Linked DNA regions of Drosophila melanogaster. The protein of the gene in region 2 interacts with the protein of the main gene of each other region in a pairwise test. Each region holds a gene or a part of one and is shown on either strand. Other genes may lie near its edges. The genes, in order: Hr38, CG10654, fmt and CROT.

The links.
Region 1: the proteins of CG10654 (region 2) and Hr38 interact in a two-hybrid assay, tested with the Drosophila melanogaster proteins (one large-scale study listed by BioGRID).
Region 3: the proteins of CG10654 (region 2) and fmt interact in a two-hybrid assay, tested with the Drosophila melanogaster proteins (one large-scale study listed by BioGRID).
Region 4: the proteins of CG10654 (region 2) and CROT interact in a two-hybrid assay, tested with the Drosophila melanogaster proteins (one large-scale study listed by BioGRID).

Annotation. Positions count from the first base shown.
Region 1 is NT_033779.5:20,711,554-20,716,248, forward strand, and holds the start of Hr38 (hormone receptor-like in 38), read right to left. Parts: upstream 3,036-4,695; 5' UTR 1,917-3,035; coding exon 1,484-1,916; intron 748-1,483; exon of another isoform or gene 1-747. UniProt on the Drosophila melanogaster protein: Binds to NGFI-B response elements. Plays an important role in late stages of epidermal metamorphosis.
Region 2 is NT_037436.4:12,504,854-12,509,666, forward strand, and holds CG10654 (uncharacterized protein), read right to left. Parts: upstream 2,988-4,813; 5' UTR 2,858-2,987; coding exon 2,297-2,857; intron 1,635-2,296; coding exon 957-1,634; 3' UTR 521-956; downstream 1-520. Other genes in the region: vih (vihar), read left to right, coding at 1-295; sti (sticky), read right to left, coding at 3,504-4,813.
Region 3 is NT_037436.4:6,169,057-6,175,638, forward strand, and holds fmt (fiery mountain), read right to left. Parts: upstream 4,825-6,582; 5' UTR 4,704-4,824; intron 4,481-4,703; 5' UTR 4,381-4,480; coding exon 4,321-4,380; intron 4,255-4,320; coding exon 4,055-4,254; intron 4,001-4,054; coding exon 3,676-4,000; intron 3,615-3,675; coding exon 3,301-3,614; intron 3,239-3,300; coding exon 3,100-3,238; intron 3,045-3,099; coding exon 2,926-3,044; intron 2,866-2,925; coding exon 2,292-2,865; intron 2,237-2,291; coding exon 2,172-2,236; intron 2,114-2,171; coding exon 1,061-2,113; intron 887-1,060; coding exon 745-886; 3' UTR 513-744; downstream 1-512. Other genes in the region: CG7376 (uncharacterized protein), read left to right, coding at 5,239-5,389, 5,442-6,582.
Region 4 is NT_033777.3:27,702,877-27,708,609, forward strand, and holds CROT (carnitine O-octanoyltransferase), read right to left. Parts: upstream 3,876-5,733; 5' UTR 3,679-3,875; intron 3,626-3,678; exon of another isoform or gene 3,189-3,625; intron 3,029-3,188; exon of another isoform or gene 2,976-3,028; 5' UTR 2,966-2,975; coding exon 2,588-2,965; intron 2,512-2,587; coding exon 1,714-2,511; intron 1,645-1,713; coding exon 1,514-1,644; intron 1,454-1,513; coding exon 1,037-1,453; intron 981-1,036; coding exon 848-980; 3' UTR 503-847; downstream 1-502. Other genes in the region: btz (barentsz), read left to right, coding at 1-57; CG12877 (uncharacterized protein), read left to right, coding at 4,334-4,442, 4,501-5,733.

The DNA.
Region 1 (4,695 bases), on a different chromosome or scaffold from region 2:
GGTTTAGTGTTTAACTGCATTTCACCATAGAAACTAATTTTCTACTTGGGTAGTTGTTTCAAAAAACCTATCCGAAGACTATCGAAAGGATACCTATCCATATGTAGCGCATGATAATCATTCTGTAATATTGACAATTAAATCAATTTAGAATGTGCATATAGTAGATTCCTGTGAATTGAAGGCTCACATGGCCCACTTGCAGTTGAAAACGCTAACCGCAGAGTGCTTAAAAGCTGATTGCTGGGAAACACTTAATGGGCGCTAAGTTAGCCGCAAAATACAGTCGCTTAAGAAGCGGCTAACAAGTGGCTAACCGACTTTGCCGCAGCGAATGAATTGGCAAAGCCTTTCAAGCCGTTTAGTAAGCCCAATAATCGGATGCCCCACCGCCGGGCGCCCTAACACCACCCACCGAACCAACCACCCACTCGGCAATGAAATGATCGATCTATCTTTCCCATGCTTGAGCTTCAATCGGCGATGTTTTTTTTATGCGGTTATTAATAAAAATGCATTGGCCATCCCTAGCCGTCGATAGTGAGTATCTGTGTGGAAATCGGACGCACTGCATCTGTGTGCGGTGTTTATTGTGCAGCTTGTAAATCATTTTGCGTCAGGCTGCGTCCGCTGCCGTCTGCTGAAACTGCGGCGCTTTGCTGACGCTGGTAAACATGTGTACGACACCAAAAACAGCAGCACATGCTCACCGAGAGCCAAGACGGGTCTGCACACACAACTAAGGTCAAAGTGGTGGTAATTGATTTAAGCCCGTCTTTACAGTTCGGTATAGTTGCCTCAATTAATTTTATGCAAATGCACTAAATTTCATAGCATACAATTTTTAATGCAAATGATAGCTTGAAACTAATTCTGATGTAACTATACAATTAATTTTATTAATGCACTAAATTTCATAGCATACAATTTTTAATGCAAATGATAGCTTGAAACTAATTCTGATGTGCTTAAAAAAAAACTATACCGAACATTTTTAGAGCTGCCTTTAATAGTACTCCAAATGCTTAAACTTTTTAATTGTTAAATCATTTTTGAATCATAATCCAAGAATTTTTAAAGTTCTCTGCCTCATTTTCTTGACCTCTACTGTGGTTGCTCTCGTATTTTGCGAATGGAAGCTTAATATTTTCACCATTTTTATGATGCATTTTGAGCAGTTTTCATGCAAATTTATGTCGTCATTGTGCGTTGTCCAACCTACCCCCACCAGCCACGCCCCCTTTTTTATTCAAGTTGCATTTTTCAGATTTTTTCCCGACCTGCCTTCTCAAACGGATTGAGCAAACAGTTAGCTTCTTGGCCGATTTGGCAATGCGCGCTGCACATTGCGTATACGCCGCGTGTGCTATTAGCGAATTAGAAGAAAACACCACAGCGGCGTTTGAGTTTGGAAAATACAAAAAAACAAAAAACGAAAAAGTCACCAACACCGATAAGCCGAAAGGGAAAACCAAATACATACATGTGTTTCCATTGGCAAAAAAGTGGCTGTTGCCGGGTGAGCTGGAGGTGGAGTTCGAGTCTGAGTTGCAGTTGGAGTTGGAGTTGGAGGAACTGCAGCAGGCCAGGTGATTGATATCGCAACCGTCGGGAAAGAGGTTGCGGCAGGGGTAAATCAAAGGCAGAGTCGGCAGAGGCGGCGGCAAGAGGGGATGTTGCTGGTGTGTTTGGTGCTGCTGTGCGTGTTGCAGGTGTGATGTGTGTGACTGCTGGTGTGTCGGGGCATTGAGGTTCTGTCTGTAGCAGGAGTTGTTGTTGATCTCCTGGAACAAACTGCTCTCGGTGTACAGTGAGGCCTCGCACTTAATGGCCGTTGCCTGGTGGTGGCTAATGCTCGTGTTGCTGCCGCCCTCTTGCTTCACCACAATCAGCGAGGCAAGCCGATCGCGCATCATAGACCACGATTCTCCGTTAAAGAACCCAAAATTAACAATGATGTTGATGGTGATGATGGGACACAAACATAAAACGCACACAGGACGGGACAACACAGATCACACACTATATGGTTTCTAAATAGGCACCTGTTTGGCGCCCCGAGCGGCGCTGGTGATCCAGCACGACTGTTCCGAGTTGGGCTGGGATTTTGCCTCAATTTTCTTGGCTGCGGCAGGAGTGGCCGAAGCTTTTGTCGCAGTAGCTCTGATTGCAGTAGTTATTATCGGGCTTCATTTTTCTGTCCTTGCCCGGCTGTTGTTTTTGTTGTGTGTCCTTAGACTTGAACTTGCCTCCTTTTTTTTTTGGCTTTTTTCTTGTTGCCTTTCCTTTTTTCCGGCGTTTGCGCAGTGGCCAAGTGACGATGTAAGCGACGTAACGACTTACGCACGCTATACTATATCAACTGGGGTCTCTATATACATATACATATATATTCGGTTGTGGTAGTTGCAGTAGTGGGAGGCACAAGGACGTTGCTTACACTTTACACACTGATACACACACGCGCGCAATGGGCAACACAAAAACAATTACTACTGTTCTTCAGCTCACGTGCTCGTTAAAATGTTAGCAAAACTTTCAGTTCAAAAATATCTGTGTCTTGTCTCTCAGAAATGAAACGAAATTTGAATTACTATAGATTAATTTACTGCACATTCGCAGCGGGGTAAGATAGATTAAACAAACATACGCAGCGTTGCCCACCGAAATATATGCATTGTTCGCTTAAGAAAGGTAAAGGTGAAGTATACGCCGCGTTGTCAACCGTTGGAAGTTATTACGCATACGCCGCGCTGTCGACCGGCTTCCGTTTCCGCATAGAACGAATGCACGAATCGATAAAGAACAACAACTTGTTGCAATTGTTTAACTCTTGAGCACTCACACCTATGTTGGCTTTGTGTTTCGTTAATACTGAACGCGATGTTTATATAGTTGTGTGGATTAAAGTCTTAGTTGGCTGACTTAAGATCGGAAATTCAGAACCATCGAGCTCGCCTCGATATAAGTTCTATATTTTGTATTGGCTTTTCCGTGAGCGGTGGCTGTTTGGGCTAAAGTTGTTAACAATGCGGCGTCTGTGACGCGACTGAACTTATCTTTACGGTTACACGCGACTATATTCAACGCGTCGCGTCGACAGCGCTGCCTCAGCTGGCGCCGTGCTGCGCTCGCGAGAGCGAGTGAGAGCGAGAGTGAGTGTGCGATGGAGAGGGAGGGGCGACGGCAAGCGAGCGGGACACGACCTACCTTTGCGGCCCGGCTATTACGTCATTTGGGGCCAACAACTGAGCGCAGCTCGTGCGAGGAAAATCGATGACGTCGTTGGCAGAGCGCCTGCGCCGGAAAATCCCCTCCACCCATTTTCAGCGACCGATTTTCCGAATGCAGTCCAGTGGGACAGTTCGGAAGCGGAAATTATGTGCGTCATAAAACCGACGTTGGCCATCCCTTTTGCTCGCATCTGAGATTGATTGGGGCTCTTGGTGCCGTTTCACCTGCTCCGGCTTACCACTCCGCCACCCACTTTTCCGCTTTTCCAACCGCCCACTGGGTATCCACTTCTCGCCTGCTGCCAAAACTTCCGTTTCTCTCAGTTATCGTACACAGGAAACATGTTTATTAATTTCAGGATATATAAGGACGTACAATTTGTAGGAATATTCCCTTATGCACATTGTACATCATCTACACACTTGTCTTTAAATATCAATCTCTTTTCCATGTGTAGACTGTACTCTAATGCATTTATAAAAAGCATGTTTTTAATGTTGTTTGTTTTTTTATTGTTTGTCTTAAACTACATATTCTTCTCAGTGTACTAAGTCTGTGTGGGCATTCTGTGGTGTCGTTTTGGTGGAAAGGACTTCCTTGCTCTCGTGTGTGTGGGTGTATTCAAAGCAAAGGAAAATGGACCAGATTTCGAGGAATATGTTTATGTGAGTCAATCCCATGATGGTGAGCGTGGGTGGAAAAGTAAAGCTATCATGTTAAATAGGAAGATAGAAATTTCGAAAAGAATAACAAGTATCATATGGCAAGAATTCAATATTCTATTTATAGTGATTTACTACTTTTGAATTTGGTTTATATTTATGCTATATAATATAATTTATAATTATGCTATAAATATTTCAAATTGAAATTGATATGCAAAACGGACTTTTAGCCTAGAAATGAGTCTGGTTTTCCTTTCAACTTAAATCACGATTTTATATTTATCTCAGTTACCCGCTTTTATTCCCTATTTCACTCCAAGTGCTAAGACAAATCGATTTCACACAAGATCCCAGGCCAATTTCGCTTTTCCACTTAACAAAATACCATCCTGCCACTTCATAAACCAGATCACTCTTTCCTCATCCCCAAATATAAATAAGCTGCGCCACAAATCATTTGGCCGATATAACTGGCAATAACACGATCCGAGCGATTTTCCCGCCCCGCGAGCCGTCGGAAAAGCGGGAATATTAATGCACTTTACCATTGACACCGGCGTTTGCAGCTCGTAAACAACAACGAGGAAAACAATAATAACGCAAAGCCAGTACAAATCTTCTCTCCCAAGATCGGCGACACACGACTAGAGAACGGTAAACCCGAAGACGCGGCGTCGACCGCGCTGCCAGCGTCGACTGCACAGAGAGTGAGAGTCTTGGCGCTCGGCACCCGAACCCAAATCCAAATCTTCGGGATCCGCAGACTCGTCTTTGCGGCGGCGACGTCTTCTGGCGT
Region 2 (4,813 bases):
TCGTTTGTCACTGGATTTTCCCAATTCCTATCCGTATGCAGCACCCGTGGTGAAGTTCCTGACGTCCTGCTTCCATCCCAATGTTGATCTGCAGGGCGCCATCTGTTTGGACATACTGAAGGACAAATGGTCGGCCCTGTACGATGTGCGCACCATTCTGCTGTCCATACAATCCCTGCTGGGCGAACCGAACAACGAGAGTCCACTGAATGCGCAGGCCGCGATGATGTGGAATGACCAAAAGGAGTACAAAAAATATCTAGACGCCTTCTACGAGAAGCACAAGGACACCTAGAGTTTGGCAATTCGTTGTCATATATCCTATGCTCATATTGCGGCGTATTTATTTACATATAGTGCAAGCAACTCCACTCATCCGAAGACCTACTGCCAACCAACAAACCAATCATCAATCACCACCGTAACACAGTACCATCAGTTAAGTGGATCACCAGATCAATTTCAACAACGTTCAATGCTGATAGTTCATTTGGCAAAAGACCCCGTGCGTTTCTTATGTAATTGTCGATCGATTGACGGATAATCTGGTTTTTATTCTCATTTCTTTCCTCCTCCCTACAAATTAATGATAAATGAATGTATTGGTAATGTAATTTTAAAACTGTCATCCGTTCTTTAAGCTTAAGGATAAATTTTAGTTAATTGTTTTATATACGCATGATTACTTTTTTGAGAACTACTGCGAGTGCGCGCCATCGCCATCGCCATTTTTTTGTACTGATGATTTTTAAGCGACTATGCTGCTGCGCCGGCCATTATGTGAATGTTAGCTAATTTTAGGGCAGCCTCATCGATTCGTCAACCATTCGCGTCGTCTTAGTATCTCCAATTATGCGGCATTCTCCCACAATACTGGCATAACAAAATTCCAAGTAATTCGAATCATTGTAACAGTTGTGTTAGCTTGATGTTATTGAAACCACAAATAAAACGAATTATTGAACTACATCCATCGCTTTGTGTTTCCTCCCGTGAGCGTTGAGCTCCACGCTGTTCTGGAAAATGCGTCCGCATTTTCTGCATCTGAGCAGCAGATTCTTATTGCCGTGCTTGCGCAGCAGATGATCCACCATGTTCTCCTTGGTGTAGAATCTGCGATCGCAGCATTCGCAGCAGTATCTCCGACCCTCAACGCTACCATGGACCATCTTGTGGCGCGTTAGATGTGCCTTTCGCGCAAAGCACTTGCCACACTCCTCACAAATGTGCCGCGCATCCGGGGACTCTGACTCGTGATACCTTTCGTGCGTCCTTCTCATGTGATATTTGAGACTTCGGTTCGCTGTGTACACCTTGTTGCAGCTCGGACAGGCATAGATGATCCGCGCAGCGTCGGCATTGTTATGCATCTGCCGCAGGTGCGACTCCAGCAGATTGGCCCGGGCATAGCTCTTGGCACAATGGACGCAGGTATACGGTCTCAGACCCTCATGCTGCTGCATATGGGCCTCCAGCAGCGACGGTTTGTAGAAGCCACGGTGGCAAATTCGGCACTCGAGGGTGTGTCGCACTCCTCGTCGTTTTCTGGCACCCAGCAACTTGCTAGAAATGGATAGCTTCTCCTGGCCCAGATCCTGTTTGGCTGACTCGTCCTCTATTACGTAGACTTCCTCCTGGAAAATTTAGGGTATTATATATTTAATTACCATAGCAAACTGAATGGTGGTGGTTTTTTTTTTTTTTTGTGGGAATTCTGTACATATCTATTATGAAGGAATTTTTTATGTAAAAAGGGTCTAAGCATATAAAAACAAACTGCTTTTGGTTGAGTTAAGTAATTTGTAGTAAGGGTAGGAATTACATTATGTTTACTCATTACTTTAAAGTGGAAATTTTTCCTTAATTTGCTATTAAGATTATCTTATCGCTCGACTTAGAAGATGATAAAATGAAAGTAATATTTTGTGAACCGAACTTTTGGCGGTCACTTATCTGTTTAGTTTAGTTTTTTAATGCTAAAAATATTAAAGGCGCTATAAATAATATCTAAAATGAGTGAAAGTTAGGGAACACATTTATCTATTCTAGATAAAACTGGCCTTTAAAATCGACTTTCTTATTTGGAGGAGCCATAAATCGAGGCGTGTTGCCATCTTCCCAATTTTATTAGTGGAAAATTTAAAAATACCCAATAGATTGGGACGTGCCTCCTTTTCGAGTGCTATCACCCACCAAACAAAAATAGTACAACACAAACAAACGCTGTCGAAATGTTTTTGTTTATGGCGGGGAATGGGGAGCAGTATTGTCTTTGCTTGGCTGCTAGGCAACACACCTCGAGCGAAGCACCCAATGTGATTCTAGATAAGATTACGGCCAGAGGCAGGCACACTTGTGGCCAGATAAAACTCACAATCTCCTGCGTCGCTGCGATGCAGGGTGCGTGCGACTGGGCTTCCGGATTAGTGGACTCGTTGCTCTCCGAGGGGGTGTCCAAGTCGTGCCAAGTGTGGTCCTCCAGTTTGTGGCATCCGATGTCGATGTCCTGCAGCAGCTTCTCAAAATTGCGCAAGGACTCTGCGCACATGCGTTGAAAGTCGTGGAACTTTTGCACCAACTGATAGCAGCACTCGCAGATGCTTTTCAGCACCAACTGGGGTGGCAAATCCCTAACGGCATCCTCTCCAGTACAGCCGTAGTACTTGCTGGCCAGATCCTGTTCGCTGTCCAGATTGTGACACGCATCCTGCGGACCCAGTAGCACAAGACAAGCGCGGCATATCATCGTCTTGGCACCATCGCATCCATCCATGCCGGAGGTAGTGGTGGTGGTGGAATCGGCGACAATGCGACCCGCGCACAAACTCAGCTGGGAATCAAACATCGTTGCTGGCATCGTCGGGAGATTCAACGGGCCACTCAAATGGCGTGGAGCCAATTGAAATCAATTAACACAATCTGCGACGGCGGCAGTGCAGCAGTCCGGCGTCCAGCGGCCAAGCCAACGATGGCAGTAATGCCAGCGGAGAGCACGATTCCATTTCCGGGGCTTTCGAATTGCGGGACATTGAAAGCTGCTGCCGAAAAGCTGCGTGGGATCAGCCCCAAAAGCTTGGCGTCGACTCCATGCCCCCAACTATTCTATTCGAAAAGCTATCCTGCATAGTAAAATTGATTTAAAATATTATGCGACTTCTTTAATTAATTAAAAAATATTTCCTTTAATATGCTTCGATATTTTAGTGATCAAAATAAATATATTAATTTAATATGAATTACCTTTTTTATCAAAATCTCAAGTTTTATTTGTGTATACAGCACAAAGTATTTAAAGAGTAAATTAAGTAATTTTTAAAAGATTCTGCCATGTGATTTTAGGCAATCGTTACACATGAAAAAGATTGTGAAAAAACATATGTTCTGACAAGTTAAAATAATAATAATCCAAATGTATAGCATATCCTAACCCTAGATATAACTACAACTACTCAGTTTGTAGTATTTTGCTTTGTCCATTCGTTTAGTTAATATATATCCTTCATCTATATGCTATTTCCGGTGACAGTCGAGCCCAAAGTCACAGAAGTGGCCACTGAAGACAGCGTTTCCATGGAGATATTGAACTTCTGCTTGAATGCCTGCATCGTGTCCAGATGGTAGATCTTCTGTGTTCCATTGCAGGGCCTCTGATCGATGGCCACGGCATAGAGATTGACATCTCCGCTGTTGGCCAGCAGCGTGGACATGTAGTGGGGCAAGTAGACGCGCTGCAGTTCCGGGGATTCCGAATTCTCCGATGCGTTATCCCCGCTGGCCATTTCCTTGCTGAACGACCGATGCAAACGGACTATCTGCACGCTTTGATAGTGCGATATGAATAGGAATGGATCGCGGTAAACAAATCCAGTGGGTGCATAGACCCAGTTCAAATCGTACGGCCTGGATCTGCAGCCAAACTCGTCCACAAAGACGCCATATTCGGCAAAGCAGAGCAGATACTCTTGTCGTGAGATGCGCACCGCAGTTAGGGGCTGGCACTTGGCAGTGCTCTCCATTGACTTATCGGACAGATCCACAAACTCCTCAGCCGCATAGTTGTCCAAATCGATCTCGTAGAACTTATCCGAGCTAACAATGGCCGAGTGACGCGTAAAGAATATGGATGTGACCGGCGTGGCCGTGTCCAAGGCTCGAACTGGCTTAAACATGTGCAGCTTAAGGTCGTACTTCAAGATGACAATCCTAGTGGACGTGGCCGCAATAGCCACCGAATCCAATGCGTTCTCCGCCTCATCGGAGATCAGCACTAGTTTCCATTTCTCCGATGGCGTGCGATTGGCAAATGGCAGCTCAATGGCCGACGTTTCCAGCACAGGCTTGTGACACGAACTGGAGCTCTGACAGCGTGACTCCAGCTGGCGGTAGTCACATTGATATAGCTTCTCGCCAACTGTGCCCACCATTATAGCCTTAGCCAGGCGCTTGCAAATGGACATGCAGCTCACCGATTCGAGACCAGAAATGTGCACCAATCGCTGCGAGTCCAAGTGATACGCATACAGTCCCGTGTTACAGCCCAATAGGAGTATTTGCTGCTCGGCCACTTCAAAGGCGCAGTTCACTTCGATCTCCTTCCGTGCCTGATCTTCTGCACCATCCGAACTGTAGACCAGCGATCCAATGTACTCGCCACCGCTGGTTGTACCACCCGCAACATCTACGCTATCCAAAGTCAAGCTGGAGACAGATTGAATACTGCTAAGATCATCGGCTGACGGTGCAGTCGGCTTGGTGGATCCGCAATGGCTCTGAACATTGGAGCGACACTTGCGATGCGTAACATCTTTGCACT
Region 3 (6,582 bases), 6.3 Mb from region 2:
CATATATTACGTCACCACTAATTGGAGGGGATTCCCCACAATAGGAGGACGATAACGTACGACTTTGCGATAACGTAATTTACTGACAGCTCCAAAAGTGTATATATATATATATATATATATATATATGTATATACATACATATATCATATGAATAGATAGATAATCCTCATCTGATCGAGCTAAAACGAATACAATACAAATATAAACTAAGCATTCTAAACGTTGCGTGAATTTTGGTACTTTAAGTAATGCTCATAGGTTGCCTAACACATTGAGAGTATTGAAAGTAAAAGCGTACTAAATCGACAGACTAATACATATTACAAACAAAATACAGTTTTCTTAATTAGGAAACATGAAGAAAGTGTAATAATTAAAATAATTGGCAATACGAGCGAGGAGCAGAAGGAATCAACAATACACTTTTTACTGTGAATATTTTTTTTTAGCTTTTTGATATTTTTTTGATGCTATTTTTTTTTTTTTTTTTTTTTTTTTTTTTTTTTTTTGTTTGATAATTTGCATTTTGGTTTTGGGCGGGTTTCGGCCTTTTGCTAATACACAAATCTTTTGTTGTACTATGCAGCCTGTTATATATGTACGTATAGTAGTAGTATGTGGTATATATTTATATAAATATGTATGCATGATAATGACCAAAGAGCAAATCAAAGGCGTTTTTACAATTTCTCGTCGACACAATATCGCTTGAATGATGTATGGTGTGGTGAGGAAGTGCATTTATGTGGTCGTAGTTGCAATTTCAACATTGTTCGTCTTGGCGGCAGCGGCCAATTTCTGCTGCTCCGTTGTGATGTTGGCTTCGTGGCCATCCACGTTGTTACTGCTGATATCGTTGGCATGATTGCTGAAAGGTAAACCCCTGGTTTTAATTACAAGTGCAATGTATTTAAGTAATAAATGGTAAAACAAAAAATTGAGCTACAAACCAATACATTGCATAGGTGTAAACTTGTTTGGCATTTTAAATAGATTAAAAGTATAAACATTTCATATATACATATTTACATACCCACGTGCAAAAGGGTTAACTTACAATTCATTCACTTTGCTGTCTGGTCCATTTGAAATGGGAGTAATTTGCTCGGTCTCCGAAGGACGATCCGCACCCAGTGGCTTGGTCCACATTCCCTCATCGTCCTCATAATCATCCTCGCCGTCCAGCAGTACGGATTGCAATCGAGTAACAATTGCTGCAGTCTCCACCACGCTCGACTCGGCCAGCTTATCGCTGATGGCCTTCTCCACGTTGGCATTATTGTCGTACTCAGCCTGCTGATCGTCGGTACACGCTAGATTATCCTGAACGCCCTTGCCCACAGCGAGGCCAATAGATTCAGCGGGTTGGCGCTCCTCTTCTGGGTTCACCTGTGTGGCGGATTCCGGCGCTGGGGAAGAGTCCTCCTCTTCCTCTTCACCTGGCGGCGCACTTATGGGCATACCAAGATCGCTGCCAAATGTGCTAAAGTGCGCATCGAAATCAGCAAAGTTATCCGAATTGAAATCCGTGCCCCAGTTGGCAGTGCCCGTGTTAACCTGCGTAGGCGCGCTGGAAAGCACGGCAAACTGGATGTCCCAAGGGTCAGCCAAGTTGTTCAGCGTGTTCGAATTTTTGGTGAACATGCCGTGCCCGTGGCCATCACCACCGCCTGAATGGTCGCCATGCTCATCATCGTCATCATCTTCGTCGTCAATGTTTCGACCAAACTGGAACCGATTCTGATCTATGGCAAAGAAGATGTCTTGCAACGTGTTATTCAGCTCACTACAATCCACTTCTCTGTACGGCAGATTACCAACGTTCCACGCATTTATCTCGCCAGTATAGTCATTGGATCCATCATTGTACTGATTCTCCTCGTGAGGATTGCAGTCGGCCAGGAGCTTGGTCTGCTGTTTAACCGCCAGCGAAAACTCGCCAGTTTCCGCATCGATCAACGATTGCCACAGCTTAACCTCATCTTCATCACTTAGGCTGCTGGTGATCAGATCACCGATATGTTCAGATTCTGATATACAATTCGTAATGTGACGAAGAATTTTAATAAGGTGGCCCATATAGCCCAAACGTCGACCCTTCTCAGCAGATCTAAAAAAAGAACATTTGTTATGTGCCAGACTGATAATTAGTCAATTGAAGTACTTACTGCGCCTGCGCATTGTGCTGCCACAAGTCGACCAGTTTGGATATCAGATGACAGTTTACAATTAACTGCAAATCAGCGAGAATTAAGTTTAGTTGGGTACAAAAGTCAACTAAGACTTACATGTGATTGCATTTCAGAAGGCGGAGGGCTCGGAACGGTCTTGGTCTTGTCGAGATCATTGAGCGTTGCCTCCGATTCTTGCTGATCTGTTGGAGATTCACCATCCACCTCACTATTTTTCACTTCATTATCCTGGGCTTTGGGTTCGGCGTCCTCAGAAGCTGTTGCTTCAGCTGCGGCTTCCACTTGGCTCATATGTTCTTCATGCTCTTGGTTTTCTTCTGCGGCTGTCTGTCGCTCATCGGGCGTCTGGGCAGCCACTTCCTGCGCAGCTGCCACTTCGATTTCGATGTCGCCCCCTTCCTCATCCTTGCCACCTTCCGCGCGCTTCGCATCGTTAAGAGCGTTCTTCATCTCGACTTCGGACTCCTCCGTGCCCACCTTCAAAAAGGCATTGATCAGGCAGTCTGCAGTGAAGTAATCCGTGACCTCCGTGGATGCAGTGTTGTTGTTGGACAGCTCGTTGTAAAAGACCACGTACAGTGCCTTCTCCATTTCTGTGTGCAGGAAGTTGTTCCAGCAGTACTGCTTGAAAAAGTCCAGCAACAGGCTGAAGTACTCAGTCGCGCAGATTCTAAAGTATAAAAAGTTATTATTTATTAAAAGTTCTCCTTTCTATAAAGCAGTGACTTACGCCTGCTGAATAGTCTCATGCTTGGTCTCCAGCAGAGCGGTGAACACGCGACAAACTTGCAGTCGAGTCTTTCCAAATGGGGGCGTTAACACGGCGGCCGTGGTTTCTAGTGTGGGTTTCTACAAGTCAAAAGATAAACAGCTGGTTCTTTGTGACAAAAAGTTTCATGCTAACCGCAGGCGGGTTTTTCAGTATGTGGACAAATTCCTGGAGGCGTGGCGCCATCACAGTGATCACAGTCTCCTGGACTTCCTGGTGGATTTCGCGTTCGCGCTTTTGCAACAACCGCTGGCGATCCGAGTTGGGCTCATCTCTACAGGAAAAAATGTAAATCAATTAGAATAAGGTGACAAATTCACTGGCAGCATAACTTACGTGAAGGTAATTGGCTTGATTAGCGTAAGTACAACCGATATTCCTGATAAGATGGCGCTCTCCTGAGCGTTTGGTTCCAAAATCACATTTAACAAGGCTTCAATTGTGTCCGCAAATTCGATCGTCTTCAGAATGGGGTTGGATCCATCGAAGGCCGGCTCAAACGAATCGTTCTCCTGCTCGGTCTGGCGCATTAGACGCCCTTGGTTAATAAGATCACAGAAAAAGTCGGCAACATTTGCATGTTTGTCGGTTTCTTGAGGATTACGCAATATTGCAATCAGTCTCTCAACAATTTTATCTTCAGTTAGCCACTGTTAAAAGAAATATTCGATAAGATTCGTATGCCTAGGCAAAACTCTCTAATGGACTTACTTCGAAAAGGTTCCGCTTAAGTCGCCCACCCTCGATGTCCTTCATCATCTGCATTATTAGATCAGGTATGACCGGTGTGTCAAAGTGTTTACAAATGAAATCCAAAAAGGTCTTCTGCGATTTAATATACTCCAGGAGTTGTAGGCACATGTGTTGATACAAAAACCAATCTTGTTCAGGCTTTTTGGTAAAGAGCATGCTAAACGTTTTGCTAAAAAACGACGATAGCAATGGATTTAACGGTGGTTCCTTTTCCAGATATGAATACAGCAGCTGCAGCGTCTCCGCGTCGTTCAGTAGCTTCTCATCCAGGGACGGCAGGCCGCTAAAATGGCATGGGCTATAGAATTCTGGATGGCAACGGGCATTCAATTCTTACAGTGTGAGTATCTCACAGGACATGTTGGCATAGCGGAAACGCTTCGACATGGGCACATCTTCAGAGGGCTCGGTCGTGATCAGCTCCACCAGACGCCGTATGACCTCGGGACGTGTAAAGTAGTTGACCAGGTTCTTCTTTTGCGTCTTGCACTCCTGCAGTATGTCCTCCTCGTCCAGAAATTCCTCCAGTGTGGAGTTCTGCGAATGGCGACGACGCGTAACTGAGACATTTCCACTTGATCAGCACGGATCGAGTCAACCTACCTCCTTCTCGAGCAGCGCCTCTATATTCGCGGAGGGCGCATAACCCTTGTCCCAAAACATTTTTCGCACGTACGTCTTGGCGGTGACACTTTCAGTCTGGGGGAAACAAGATCAATCTTCGCTGGACTCGCGGAACGCTGATGACTTGGCATGCACGGCTCTGCGGGACGGGATTGGAGATTTGGATAAGCGGAATAGCGCAATTAATACACTGAACACAGACTAGACTCAGCTCAACACTCGGCTCTCACAAAGTAATGCGTAAATTTTTGTAATTATGCCAAGCAGGCTCCACATATACACTACGAATGCGGGTCGAAAAATGGTTGTATGCCGGTCGTTTGAGATTGCAAGGGTTGCGGGATGCTTGGGCGCACACTTACGAGTTGGCTGGACTTTGTTTTGCTCACTGTTTGTTGCACTTTTGATTGGTTTTCAACCGAAAAAACCACGCTATAATTTTCTTCACTGCTTCGTAGAGGTGGACAATATTCGATTACAGGGTATATTAACTCAGTGTGATATATGCGGCCGATCGACCGTGTCCTCACACAATCGGTTATCGATTGTCATTTTTCAACTTGTTCACACGATAACCGCTGCACATATTGTAGAAACTAAACTACATACAATTATGTTTTATGATTTAAATACAGTTCTTTATTATAAATATATTTCTTTAATTGGTTTTCTTTTTAAATGGTTTTCTTTCTTTTCATTTTTGCCTGAGTTGCTATTTGATAACTTACCGAAAATGTTTTGCTTTCTAGAGAACATAAAGATTCCCCTGTTGCAATCGTTAAATTTAAGCTGTGGAGGTGTGTCATTTGGTGTCCGATATAGATTTTTCTGTTATCGTATATCGAATTGGCGGTCATCGCACATTTGTTTGTCCGAATTGTTATTTCGCAAATAACAATGGATGGCGTTGTTTTGTGCGAAATTGCTGATGAAGTACCTCCAGAAAGTCCCGAGGATCCAACGGAGTTCCGCTACGGAAAGAAGCGATGGGTGTTCAAAGATAATCTCGTTGAGCATAAAGAGGAGATTTTGATTTGTATTGAAAAATGTGTGTAGGCTAACGTACTATAATTGCACTTATTAATAAGAAAATATTTCAGGCCAGAATGCTCGGACGAGAAAGCTGAAGTTCAGATCCATTCGGCAGGAGTCGGGCTCCTGCATCCTGGTGCTAAGCCATGAACAGACGCATGTTCGAGCACGTGAGATCGAGATGGAAGTGGGAGAACAAGTTCTGCCCCTTTTCTTTAAAGACTTCAGAGGCAGTCTCGAGTTCGAGGTGGCCCAGCAGGAGAAGGAGCACAAGCGTCCCTTAAAAACATATGTAACCACCAAGTTGTACGACGCCCTCTACGAAAAGCACCGCCAGACCGTTCATGTTGAACAGGAACGTTCGCTAGACCTGCCGAAAAGATTTCAATCTCAGCTACGCAAGTACCAGCAGCGCACAGTATCTTGGATGCTGGGGCGGGAGCAGCAGATAACTCAAGTGCCGGCCAACTTCATAGTGCTCCATGCCATTGATGGTATAACTCGCGTCTTTAAGCATAAATACTGCTTACAATTTTATCCTTTCGAGGAGGAGATTCCCAAAATCTCGTTGCCGCCGGGTGGCATTCTGGCCGACGAGATGGGCCTGGGCAAGACCGTGGAGTTCCTGGCCATGCTGCTGATGAATCCGCGCCCACAAGACTCCTACCGAAACGATTACTGGCACCAACGCCTCGAGGAGTTTTCCGATGAAGTGCCATTAAAGCGGTCACGTATAAGTAAAAAAGACGAGGTTTTCTGCATCTGCACCAAGAAACACGGTAAACGAGTGCAGTGCACCAAATGCCGTCGGTGGCAACACGAAATGTGCATGACTATTTCAGAAAAATCAGACTTACCCCACCTGTGTCCCAGCTGCTGGTCCGAATTGGTAAAGTCTGGCGAAAGGCTTGTTGAGAGCGGCGCTACCATCATTGTATCTCCGAACGCCATCAAGATGCAGTGGTTCGAAGAGATACACAAGCATATATCGCCATCGCTTAAGGTGCTCCTTTATTTCGGCCTACACTCAACCTTCTGGGTTAGTCCTTTCGATCTGGCCCAGTACGATGTCGTCCTTACCGACTATACGATTCTGCGTAACGAAATATACCATACGACGGACTTTAAGTCGGACCGCCAGATGCGCCACCAACAAAGGTACATGCGTCCCAACTCTCCACTTTTAATGGTAAACTGGTGGCGCGTTTG
Region 4 (5,733 bases), on a different chromosome or scaffold from region 2:
ACTCCACCGGCTGCCGAGCAGAACCTTCAGCCAGTTCCGGCCACTGGGCAGGAATGAGTGCAGGCGTACGCCGGCTTGCCGCCACAGCAGCAGCAGAGACGAGGCCAACGGATAGCGCCGCCGCCCTCCTCCGGCTACTCAATGCTGCAGCCGCACGCTGGCTACTATCGACCTCCGCCCCCGCCGCACTAGTGCGGACAGCCCAGCTCCTAACTCAACTCATACGATTTTTTTTCCCCCATTCTGTCCTTGGGTCTGCGACTCAAAAAGTACTGCATAAATAAAGAAACGCAGTGAGAACCACTTGTAATTAGCATTTAGCTCCCAGATAATCGAAATTACTAACGAAAAGTTTTCGTATATAGACGATTATATATATATATATTGTAATCCGGCGCAAGCTCCAATTAATTTGTACGTAGTATCTAGGGCCGGCTAACGTATTGAAGCGGCTGGGCGCTTAGCTTATTTAGCCGCATTTTAGAATTGAAACACAAGAATTACCGAGAGAAATGTATTTGCAAAAACTAATCGATCATTGAATTTAAATAAACGTTTAACACGAAGTTACAAATGCTGCACACCCTTTCTGTCAAACTACAAACTACCAACGAAGTCTGCGTTTTCACTTAGTTTCCGGTGAAAGGTGGGTTGAACTAGGGATCCAATTTCAAATAAAAAATATTTAAATTCGACTGTTCGTTAAAATCTAGGTAATTGTGCTAATTGAAACAAAATGGAAAGAAAAACCAAAAATCTACTTTCTGATTGGAACTAAAAATGAGAACTGAATTTCAATGACGACATAAAGTAAGATTAGATCTTTTCTTAATACTAGATGAGCTTTTCATAGCTTGGATTCCTTGGCCAATTGTTCCAGGAGAACGCTGATGCGGCGGAATGAGTCCTTGAAAATGTCGTTGAACTTGCGAGCGCTTGTCTTTAGGCTATCCCGATAGGCGGTGGTATTAATGAACACACTAGAATGTACGAAATTAAAGAACAATTCAAGATAATGGAGGAGTGTCTAGCTTACGCTTCCGAGGTGATGGAGTAAAAGACGCCATAGCCATCGAAGACCATGGGCGCCACGAAACCAACGTTGGCCGTGAAGCCCAGCGTGCTGGACGAGAGCACAAAGTTACCTCCTCCGCCGCTCTTGGTGTACATCGGATCGTCGTAGAAGGCGGGAATGTCCATTTTGCTTTCATACGCCGCGCACCACAGGCCAAACAAGTGCCTATCGATGCCGTGTCCCTTGCGCGCCTCGTTCATGAAGTGCTTGTGCTCATCGACTGCCCTACGGAACGCCCTGGCCAGTGACATATCGCCAACCTGCTTGTTGGATGACGCCCTCAGGAATTCAGCCACAGCGGAAGTGCATGATCGCAGGGTCTCTGTTCGTCCATTGTAGTACTGTCGCATCAGAGCAGTCTCATATGTGGGAGCAATTCTGTTGGATATCCATGGAGTGTTGTTAGTGCTGTTTTTTTTAGTCCAGAGGTGAACTCACTCTTTATGCATTTGGTAGTAGGCCCACTGCATGACCACCTGAACAAAGGAGTCTGGATGCAGTCGATGGGTTTTCATAAAGTCCTTGCCGTAGTCATCGAACGCAGTGAAGGTCACAGTAACGTCAATACCCTAAGGATACCACATACAAAAGGATTAACTAGTTCAATAACAGGTTTCGGAAAAAGGCGTTTTGCCTACCCTGTCATCAATATCCTTCTGCACGCGCTTGATCTCGTTCTTGAGCGTATCATCCAGCTGGAAGTGCAGCTCCTTGACCTCCAAAACATTGCCTTTTTCGGCCTCTGCCCAGTCTGGCTCTGGCACCTCCAGGAAGCTCAGTTGCATGAATGTGGCGTAACTTATGCTGACCGTGCCATCGTAGCAGCTGTGCTCACCCGTCCAGTTGCAGCGTCCGTTGCGGAAGGCGATGATGCTGCTGCTGCGGTCTGCCCAGCGGGAATGGAGATCACCGTAGAGACCCAGCTGGCAGGACTCCTCGTAGTCCTTGGGCGATTGCTCGTACCAGCAGATCTCCATACATGCGCTCTCCACCAGAAGCAGCGTCTCCTTGTTTGCAACTGAGATTTCCCTCAAACGGTTGCGGTTGCGTGCCCACGTGGAGCGTTCGTCATGGCTCAGGGTGGGCACACAATCGCCCAACGGCTCGTAGTCGAGGATGCTGCGCACTCTTTGCAGGGCCACGAGGATTTCGGGAGCCGATAGGATAGTGTCGTCCTCGTGCACACAATCGAAGATGAACTGACGTCCCTTGCCGGAAATAAGCATGTGACTCGGCGTTTTGCCCTCATCCTTGGTGAGAAAATGCTTCTCTATATGATCCTGCTCCTCGCCTGGCACACGGCACGTGGAGAAGAAGTGCTTGTACAGCGCGGAGGAGTACTTTATTTTACCGCCGTTCGAGGAGAGCGGTTTGATGCTGGACTTTCTAGTCAGATCCCAAAACTCCAGCGAGTGGTGAATGTGGCGCGCCAGACTCTTCGAAAATTATACAGTCAATTAGGCAATCTTAAACTTTGTGTTCTTATAGAGCTTGGGGTGTGGGTCCACTCACCTTCAGCATGTACTCCGGTGTCTCCGGCACGCCCACCATTTCCAATTGCGAGGGCATGACCATGAGCTGGTAGGGCAGCAGCGGCATCCGAATCAGGTGATATCCGTAGTCCTCCCACCAGGTGCCCAGCCAGTTCCTCATGCCGGCCGCCCGCTTCTTGAGCTGTTCGTGCAGCTGGGCTCCCACTCCGTTTTGGAACTCATCAATAGTCTTGCGGGCCTGGGCCAACTCCTCCTTGGTCCCGAATGGCTGGATGCAGCTGTAGTAGCGCTCCATGGTGTCCCTAAGCTCCGGCAGCGGGAGCGAAGGTAAGGTCTCGTCGAAGTCGAAGGTGTTCTTATCATCCTTGCTCATAAAATATAGACTAGCCCGGTCCATGGTGGTTTAGCTGCGGGGGACACGTTGGAATCGTTGATATCAGTCTGCGCGTGTGGTGGTTTTCTATAGGCCTAAGTCAGATTAGTACAATAATCATATCGGGAATCGCTTTTACGTTCGTCAGGTCCAAAGTTCACCCAATACATTACTGAGTACATTCACATCGGAAATAAATTGATCTCATCTTATAGGTTAAACATTAAAATGGTGTGCAAATTAATACCACACAACTAAGAACACTTAATGTGCAACTAAGCGGATTATGCGTCAAGTTGAACGTAATCTTTCTTGGACTGCAGCTAGACGACTATCTTCACTAATCTCCTCAAGCTGGACAAAGTCCGGATTGGGGAGCTTTATAAATATTTATACTCCCGGCGCACTGGTGAAATCATAGGCGAATTTCTAGCCCACTGACCTTTGTACTCGATGGGGAATTCACTTTTGCCGGAGACAACTGAAGCGCCAGACTGCCGTTATACGACTGAATCCATAGGTTGGTTCCATATCACAGCAAACCTTGCCGGAGGGGGAGCACTTGAATTATCGCACCGTGGGATCCGCCACCCGCGTCCACTGACTCAGTGCGATAATATATCACCCTAATCATTGCTATTGCAGACAGTCGGCCACCGATAATGGCCGGTTTCATTTGAATTTCTATATGAATTTCTTTTTTAATAACATATTCCAGCAGACACACCCACACAAACCTTCGATGAGGCGGCAGTTGAATGTCGCGCCCGAACTTCAGTTTGCGATGCACTCGATCGAAATTAAAACGGTTCCGCAGCTATCAAGTTCATTAGGCTAGATAAGCAAACAATTTTATAGGTTAAACAATTATTTTTATTATTATACTGCTGCGTTTTTGTTTACAAGCGGCGAAGACCCTATAGGAAATTGGCACAGCAAACAGCTGTTTGCAGGAGTTGCCAGACTTTTTACACCATTTGTTTATACCGTTAGTCACCACATTCTTATTACGTACATCTTATTCTTATTAACATCGCATAGCATTGTACATCGTACCGCAAGATATAATCCTCCCGGATTGATGCAATCAACTGCCATAAACGTACATTGTAACCGTTAACAAAATGCGAATATTGTTTACAATTATTAATTAAATAGGTCATTCAATGTTTTGTAAATATTTAAAACTTATTTAAATTTATTTAATTTAATTCCTTAGCATCCATTCATAGCATCCATGCTGACGCCTATCTGGCAACGCCGCCAGCAGCTGAAACAGCTGACATCTGTCGAAATGAGTGAAAGAGACAGGCAGAAAGAATAGAAAGAAATTTGGGACGCTTGTTTTCTCAAGCGGCTTTATTAAATTTCTAATCCCAGCAAGAGGTGGAAATGCTGCCATCCACGGGTCTCTTTAAGGGCTTCTTGTGCCCTTACTTTGACGGCCAGGATGCGGCGTCCTGCAAGCGCCCCTTTTGCCACTTTAAGCATGCTCGCAAAGGTGAGTGAATTACGTCCAGTTAATTTCGCAACAAATTCTATCCACTCTCGGTTTACAGACGAATTGGAGGCCGCTCCACCTGCAGAACCTTCCCCCGTGCCCAAGTACAAGCCGGCACCCAAGTTGCTCTCCCTTCCACTGCCCCAGATCACGCTATGTGCGCCCCGGAAGAAGTCCAATCTGGAGTACCACCCGGAGAAGCCGGCTCTTGACGCATCGCCGGCTAAGAAGAAGCAGGAGGCGTCCGTGGACAGTGCTCCCAAATATGTGCCCGGCCAGCCATCTGTTACAAATGGCGAAGAATATGACGATTGGCAGGCGGTACTCGAAAAGGAAATTGATGAGCAGATGCAGGTGGAGATTGAGGAGCAAGTCCAGAATAACGACGAAGAACAGAAGATAGATACGGTAGCTGAAAACGAGGAGGACCAGGAGAATACGCAACTGACGGATGCTAGGGATAGCCACGAAAAGGATCGAAAGCCCAGCAAGGAGCGGGAAAGGGATATAGAAAAGAAGAAGATCAGAGAGCTGAAAAGGGAAAAGATCAAAGACAGGGATCGGGACCGGGACCGGGACCGGGAAAAAGACAAAGAGAAGAGCAAGGAAAGGGACAGAGAGAAGGAAAAAAATGATAGGGATAAGCGAAAGTCCTCCCACAGCGACAAGGAGCGCTCCAAGGAGCGAAATACTTCAAGCTCAAGTTCCTCTAAGCACAAGTCTTCATCTAGCTCCTCTTCCAGCAAAAAGTCATCCAGCAGCGATAAGCACCGCGACGACAAAAGTTCCAGTAGCAGGCACAAGAGCAGTTCTTCATCATCCTCCTCGAAGAGCCATCATCACAAATCTAGTTCCTCGAGTTCACGGTCCAAAACTAAGAGGAGCTCGTCTTCCAGCAAAAGCGCTGGCACTTCAAAGAGCGAACCGGAGGCGGATAAGGATACTGAAGCAGCTGTACTGACACCAGCAGAACCTATGGATGATCTGGATGACATGGACTTTGATTTTGAAGCAGACACCTCGGAAGGAGAAATTGTACGCCAGTGTGAAATGATTTTTGACGAGATGGAAAAAAAATTTGCGCAGATGCACAAGGACGAAGGCGGCAATGCCAACCCGGAGAGTTCTCGCAAGCGCAAAGCTCCTTCTCCGGACATTGATACCTTCACCGAGGCAGCCACGGCGGCTCTGCAGAAGCGCCGGGTGGCCCACGAGAATGCTGACAAGATCACGCCTCATTTGGCTCCTTCGGCGGCGATGCGCAAACCCAATCACGTCCGTAATGCCATGC